Xenopus tropicalis: one gene and its partner. The protein of the gene in region 1 interacts with the protein of each later gene in a biochemical or structural test. Links are inferred from orthologs where the notes say so. Each region holds a gene or a part of one and is shown in the gene's direction. Other genes may lie near its edges.

Region 1 (3,565 bases):
TAATCCAGGGGTTTTCAGATTATTTGGGTTCTTGAATTCTTGACCTAAAAGTTTAAAACTCGAGATCTCTGATTTTAAAGCCATCATGCGCGACACGCGCTGCACCATTAAGGGACGTACGTGCTCTGTTACTGCTTCTAATTACCGAACCGATGGGACACACATCAAGCCGTGGCGCGTTACAGTGGGGCACACATTCACTAAAAAAGGCACATAAAAAGACCACTAAAAAAATATAAAAAAAAAAACTTTTAAGGACAGATCTTTAGAAATAAAAAAGTTCCAATGATGCACTGTGCCTACTTAGGATTTGTAAGTAATTATTTTTGGTAATGGAAATTCACTAATGATGGGAGCGCACACAGCGCACAGAACCAATGGGACGAGCACAAAGCACACAGCAGGATGGCAAGTACTTGATAATTAGTATGGCAGCTTCCTTAGCCTTCCCAAACTTGCTTTTGTCTGCTGCTGTAGCATTTTTCTTTACCTAAAGTTATCTATTATTTATTTATCTGTTATTTGATTATTGAAACTTAGCAGTAGCGGCTGCATTTCCCTCCCTAGGCTTATACTCGAGTCAATAAGTTTTTCCAGTTTTCTTAGGAGTTTGCATGAGTTTTATTTATTTTAAATATATGATTGTATAGGTTAGCCTTTAAATGTTATATCATTAAGTAAGAGAACTTCTTTTTGATTACCCACAATATTACATTGAAAGCATTTGTAGAAGAACAGTTATTTCATGAAAATACTATAAATTCATTCATCCCTAGACATAATATATTTTCTCTTCTTCTTTTAGCTATCAACTCAGAGAGAAGTAGTGGCGCGAGTAATTCAGCGGATTTGTGAAAAGAAAAGAAAAAATGTTCTTGCTTTTGGTTATGGCTTAGTTGATGAAAATAGCTCTCTGAATATTCGATTGACTCCAAATATTTGCAGTTATTTTCCTAATTCCACAACAACAACAATCAGCACAAGTATTCTTTGGGAAACTCTGCTTACTAGAGTAGGTGATGATGTTATGATGTATTGGCTGGAACAATGCTCAGTTTTTGTATTTGTGCCACCTAGTTGTTGTTATCAAATCAGTGGGCAGCCAATCTACACTTTACCCTATGATAGTATGTGTTCATTTCGATCTCAGTCATTTATGCATAGCAATGTTTTGTTGCAGTACATTAAAAGAAATGCCTTTTTCTTGCGGAAAAAATATCTGAAGCCAAAAAAATGGTGGAAAACGGTGTTAAACAGCAAAGTAGAAAAACATTCAAAGACTTCTCAAATGCTAACATGGCAAAATAAAAAGTCCACATCAGCATTGCCTATTTGTAGTGAGTCATCTATGAAAGTTACCACAAAAATACATTCCAAAAGGAAGATGTGTACTACAGATATTTGTGACATTCCAACTAAGAAACGCAGAGTCAACTTGGACAAAGATGATAAAATGGACCACGTTTCCTTTACGTCTGCATGTCTTTCTTCCTTCTCAAATGTGTGCCCTGAAGCTAAAGTACAAGCAACGGAATTTATTACCTCAAGATATGGAAAAAAAACAAAAATTCAATGTCCAAAATCGACTTCATACTCAGTTGATGGTGAATTTAATGTAACTCTTCAAAATAATGCTAATACGTTTATTACCAATGCTTCTGTCCCTACAATACAAAGCAAAACTTCATTTTCAAATATTTTTATTGAAATTGGAAGAACATTGTATTCAAGTATTAGTTTCAAGAAGGGCTTCTCTGAAAGTTTTATACTTAACAGTTTAGACTGTACCCCTTCTGGGAGCCAAAAATTAGTGGAAACCATATTTCTAAACAACTTTTTAACTGAGCAAAATTTTGACCAGCCAAAACGGGATGAAAACTTTAGATCTAAACTTCCCAAACGTTATTGGAGAATGAGAAAATATTTCCAAGAATTAATACAGAACCATAAGAATTTCCCTTATCTGGTATATTTGAATAAACACTGCCCTGTTAGGCCTTCAATGGCTTGTTCACACAAACTGGCGTTGCAGAAAAAGAATAAATGTAAAATGGATAAATCAATTTGTGACTTAAGTAATACCTCAGTTATGAAAAACAAAATTGTAAATGATGAAAAGCCGCTAAAACATGTTCCAGCCGAAGCAACTTTTTTACCTCTTCTTAAACAACACAGCAGCAGTTGGCAAGTGTACATGTTTGTTAGAGAATGTTTAAATAGTTTAGTGCCTGATTTCATATGGGGCTCCAGTCACAACAAGTGCCGTTTCCTTAGAAATGTAAAATCTTTTCTTTTTTTTTCTGGCAAATTTGGCAAGGTCTCTTTATTAGAGCTTATGTGGAAGATGAAAGTAGAAGACTGCTCTTGGATTCGTCTACGAAAAAGTAAGTGAACTATAAAGTATTTAAACTCTTTTGAACTTATTTGCAGATCTGTCAACTAAGCTACGTACAGTATTAAAGCTATTAATGTGTACTTTACATATCTATCAACATTGTGCTAAGCCAGTGTTGACAGATGTGCAAATATGGATAAGTAGAGTGTCTAATGAATCTACATGATTCAAATCTGTTGATCTTAAATGCTTCCTGTTTGTGTAACTAATCCATTTAACTAGAGAGTGTGAGTTTAAGTAAAAGCGCACACATGCCTAAAAAGATGTATGAACTATAAAGTATTTTAAGTATTGCTGAAAGAGTTATCTGTGGAGGATTTCACTGTTTATGATTAAGTTAATTTAATCCAGATAGCATAGATCATTATTTTATGCTTAATATAATACTTCACTGACCAGGACTTGTATAAAAGTTTCAAATCAATGTAACCCTTCCAGGTTGTTATGTGTTCTGTGATTGCTTGGCTACACCCCCAGTTGCAGTGCAGTTAAGCATGTTATTGGTATACAATGCCAACGCTGTGCAAATTTGCTCATAGCAACTGATGAGTGATTTGTCTGAAACTAGTCTAGTTTATTTTGCTGGATATGTGGTTAAAAAGGAAACAAAACCCTCATCTTTAAACTTAATTGTTCTGAGTTGTAAGATGATCTATACTACTTTAAGATGGTTTTGATTTTTTGAATGGTTTATCCATGCTACTGCCCCTCCCCAGCCTGCAGTGGTTTGCTCATTAACATGGATAGCGAAAAGAACAAATTCCCTTGGACAATAGATCTACACCTGCAAAAAGTGTAAAGTTTTTAAAGGTGCCCATACACCGAGAGATCTGCTCATTTGGTGAGGTCAAAACACGAAAAAGGCAGGCACTCCGTAACTCCAAATGAACGTCAAATAGTGGCTCAAAAAAGTTTATAGTAAAAACAAAAAAGTTACACATAATGCTACAAAGCCTTATACGTTTTGTACCTATATGGTACTTAATCATAGGCTCATTTGGTGAGGTCGCCAAAGGAGCGGATCTTTCCCTGACATGTCCATCTTGAAGTGGGCGATATCAGATCACATTGATGGAATACAGGCCATCGCCACGAGGACTGCATGGAAGCGCAGATGTGCTTTTCGCCCCAAGGGATTTTTATACTTGTCTAATTGACAGCTGTTGGGCT
Region 2 (4,163 bases), on another chromosome or scaffold:
AATTAATTCAACTGGAAGGGTTTGCACCATGTACCTTCCTAACCTTACTGAAAGAGGTCCTGTATTTCCTATGCAGGAAATAGCCCTGTATATAGAGGTTTGTGCCATGTACCTTCTTTACCCTAAAACAGTGATCCTTAACTAGAGGTTTGTAAGCAGCATGTTGCTCACCACCCCCTTTGATGTTGCTCTCAGTGGCCTCAAAGCAGGTGCCCATTCTTACATTTCTGGCTTGGAGGCAAGTTTTGGAAGCATAGAGACATGGATTTACCCCAAGCAGAGCCTCCTGCAGGCCAGCAGCCCACATGGGGTACCAAATAGCCAATCACAGCCCTTAGTTGGCACCCCAAAGAACTTTTTTTCATGCTTGTGTGGCTCCCCAACACTTTATACATCTGAGTGTGGCTCACGAGTGAAAACGTTTGGGGATCCCGGCACTACAACATGAGATCCTTCCTAAAGTGTCCTATACAGGAATTAGCCCTAGTAGAAAGGATAGCTCTACGTACCCTACACCATAAGATCGTGGAAAGTAGCAATCAAGATGACTCGCCCGGTTCCATTCATAGCCGGTCCACAAGCTGCTCTATACAGCTGCAAGGCTCAGCGTCTGTGTACTTCCTGCCTGGACTGTACCACTACCTGTACGGGGGGGAATTTCGACGTCCTTGAAAGTAGGATAATTCCTCCTAGTTTCCAAACAAATTATTTTGGGCTGGTTGGTTTTGAATACAAATGTTAAAGTCACTGATTCGTGTAGTATGTTTTAGGACTGCGATTAAGCATCTACATATGTCAAACCCCTTTGATCCGTCCATGGATGGTTTTTACCTCCACATCGCAAATTCTGACAGCGTAAAACTCTTTAGTGAATGAACTTAAAGGGGTTGTTCGTTATACTTGCAGTCACCCGTATAGGCCTTACCAGGGCTGCAGGGAAATGTAATTAAAAATAGAAAAAGCTGGGAAGCCACAACCCAGGTCAAAAGTGTGTAAGGGGGGGGGCGTCTAATATAGCATGTCAAATATACGATAAGTGAAATGTGTTTCTACTGGGAAGGCGGGGCGGCGAATTGTGGGTTTATATTTATAGTGCCATCCTTGTTCTCATTTCTAAGCACTAATCGTGCAGCAGTAGATACATACAGTAGCCCTGCAACAAGAACGCGGAGGGGCGGAGGGGCGGAGGGGCGGAGGGGCGGAGGGGCGGGGCGGGGCGGGGAAGGAGTGGTGGGGCGGGGCTACCTGGAATATGCAAATACTTTGTTGCTTTGGGAGACGGTGACGTCGGAGGCGGAAGTGGGCAGAAAGTTGCTGAAGTTTCGGGGTGAAGTTACCTGTGAGGAAGGAGGCGGTTTGGGGTGTCAGTGACATGGGGAACTCATCAAGCCATCTCTCCAAACAGCTCATTAATGAATATCAGGTACCGGTGGGCAAGTGCTAGGTACCCGGAAATGAAAGCGGCAGATATGTATTATTCACGCTTGTATTGTGCTGGGCAAGGTGCTAGGGTCTGCTCTATGTTCAGATCGAAATATGCTTCAAAGTGCAGTTGTCTCTTTAGGGGTTGGAGCCCAATATGCCGAGGAAGGTCGGATATCAATGCGCTGAACCGAGAGCTCGGCATGACAAGCGCCTGTCAGGAAACCTTTGGGGGCCGCACAATGCGATTAGGTTTCACATTAACAGCACTCAGCAGCTTTCTATTAGCTAAACCATATGTTGTATTTATAAAATGAACTTTGATGGGCAGATTTATCAAATGTGAGTGTAGAGCTTAATACATAAAAATACACCTACGCCCTATTCCTTCTTGTGGGATTTTTAGAAGTGTATTTATCAAATGGTGAGTTCTAACTTTCACCCATTGCTAAATACGCTTTTAAAAATCCCATAGGAATAAATAGAAGGTTGGCGAGTTTTTATATATTACATTTTGATAAATCTGCCCTAGTGTGTTCAAGACAACAATATTTGGAGACAGTGCCATTGGCTTTTAACTTTAGTTGTGTTGTGTAACATTTTGTTTTAAAGCCTTAAAGGTTATCTGGCTGCTTGGGTTTTATTGACTAGCAACCTGCTACTGGTTTGAATGACAGACTTGAATGACAATTAAATAGAGGGACTGACAATAAAGTAAAAAAGTAATATGACAGTATAACCTGAATTATGTTTTACAGAGGGCAAAACAATTGTGTATAATTGGGAAATTGTAAAAGCAGGGAGATGTTAAAGTATTGTGACAACTGCCTTTACACTTATTTTATTTATAAGTCAAACTTCCATTTATACAGGAACCCGCCAGAAAGAAAACATTTGTTGATTGTATAGAAACATTCTGAAGTAAAACAAAATTTATACGCAGTGTAATTGGCTGAATGCTAGCACTCTAGCTTTCCCTCTGGCTCTGGGGAATACAGTGACAGGAGCCAGAATTACAAGTATGTTTTATTCTAGTCAGGGGTGAAAGTTTTTAGGCACAGCCCTTACCTGGTACTGTAACAGGAACTCCATACAGACAAAACTTTGCTTTAAGGCTTTTGCTGACAAGCATTTCCTTATGCACTTCCCTATGGTGGCTGTTATATGCATTCTGCCTCAAGGGAATGTGTTAGTTAACTCAGACTCATTATTTCCAATAGTAGCTGTGCTATCTAAGCTACACTAAACAGGTGGGACACTGCTTTCTTTTGGTGGATCCATTATCATAGGTTCAGATCTGATATTACTAAAAAATATCCAGAAGGAGAAAGTTGCCTTTAATAGATTGGTCACCACAAAAGCATAATTAGAGATCAGTGTAAAACTCATGTATTTAAAAAGCCGTAATTAAGTTGTGTTGCAGTTTTGTTGCATAAGGAAACAAAAACAATATCCCTTTATGGTGGGGTCACGAAATGAGCAGATCTGTGTTTGATTTGACCACCTGTATTCTGGGCTAAATCAGTTTGATCTGATCGTTTGGTTCCTAGCCCAATGATTATATCATAATGTGCGCCTATACAGAGCCGGCAGGAGAGGGCCACATTAACGTGCCGATATGGCCACTACCCGACAGGATATATAGACCTGCCTATACGTTTAAGCCACGTATCTATTGAATAGGCCATTAGGGAGGGACCATATTCTGGCAAATATGCTTCTGACCCACTGCTTTTTAGAGAACCTGTGCACCACCCAGTATGGAAGCAGAGGAACTATCATGGTTTCTTCTCAGTGTATGTCTGTGTATATGGTGGTAGTCTACATTTTGTTTTTCATTACTGAGTTCATTTTTAAAGTAACTTATTATTTTCATTTTAGGAGCTGACATACCTGACAAAGCAAGAGATAATCTTGTAAGTACTGACCTGCTAGTTTTTCAGTGACTACAGTCATACTGCTGCTGAGAGAAAGAGTGCACAGACCATAAGTGAACTTACAGACTAGAGCAGTGTTGTCAGCTGAAGGCTCATGGGCTAGATTAGATGCTACAAGAGATCTTTATGGTCCACATGTATTTTTGTATGACTGGGGAATTTGTGGGATAACAGCGGGGTTTACTTCCCCTGAGTGGATTATTTGGCCAGTTAAACTCTTCTTAAAGGAAAAGTAACACAAAACATTTTTAAGTAAAAAAAAATCTATTCTACCCTGCCCCCAAATTGCCCTATCCTGCAAACCATTTATTATTTTGAATGCTGTAGTACAAAATACCTGTTAAAAGTTGGCTTCCGGTCATTTGAAGAAAGGCGATGCAGGTGAAGTATCGGGGGAAGTGTCCACTAGGGCAATTATTGGGGCAGGGTAGAATAGATTTTTTACTTAAAATTTTTTTGTGTTACTTTTCCTTTAAAAAGTTATTCATTTTCTAAAGGTCAGGTTTCTGTGGCTGGAATGAGATCATAAACACAACCATAGTGATACCTAACTTATTCTGTTTCCTTGTTTACTGGATAAAGTACCAATAGTTACTTGCTGCTAAATACTGTTGCTTCATTATTTCTGTTTCCTTTTTTTGTAACAAAGGGTCATAGTGCACAAACCTGTGTTGTTAGACTTTAGTTTCTTAACAACTATAGGCTTTCAAGACAAAGAAGTTAGTCATCAATACAAGTATAGGATCTATACTCTGGAATGCCTGGACTTTTCCAGCCAAGAAATAATTTCATAATGTGGAACCG

What was found.
Region 2: the proteins of tert (region 1) and cib1 form a complex in vitro, tested with the Homo sapiens proteins (2 studies listed by BioGRID). The link is inferred for Xenopus tropicalis from reciprocal best matches to the Homo sapiens genes TERT and CIB1.

The regions. Positions count from the first base shown.
Region 1 is NC_030682.2:58,817,893-58,821,457, reverse strand, and holds part of tert (telomerase reverse transcriptase), read left to right. Parts: intron 1-805; coding exon 806-2,384; intron 2,385-3,565. UniProt on the Homo sapiens protein: Telomerase is a ribonucleoprotein enzyme essential for the replication of chromosome termini in most eukaryotes. Active in progenitor and cancer cells. Inactive, or very low activity, in normal somatic cells.
Region 2 is NC_030679.2:108,225,627-108,229,789, forward strand, and holds the start of cib1 (calcium and integrin-binding protein 1), read left to right. Parts: upstream 1-1,348; 5' UTR 1,349-1,372; coding exon 1,373-1,423; intron 1,424-3,303; coding exon 3,304-3,338; intron 3,339-4,163. UniProt on the Homo sapiens protein: Calcium-binding protein that plays a role in the regulation of numerous cellular processes, such as cell differentiation, cell division, cell proliferation, cell migration, thrombosis, angiogenesis, cardiac hypertrophy and apoptosis.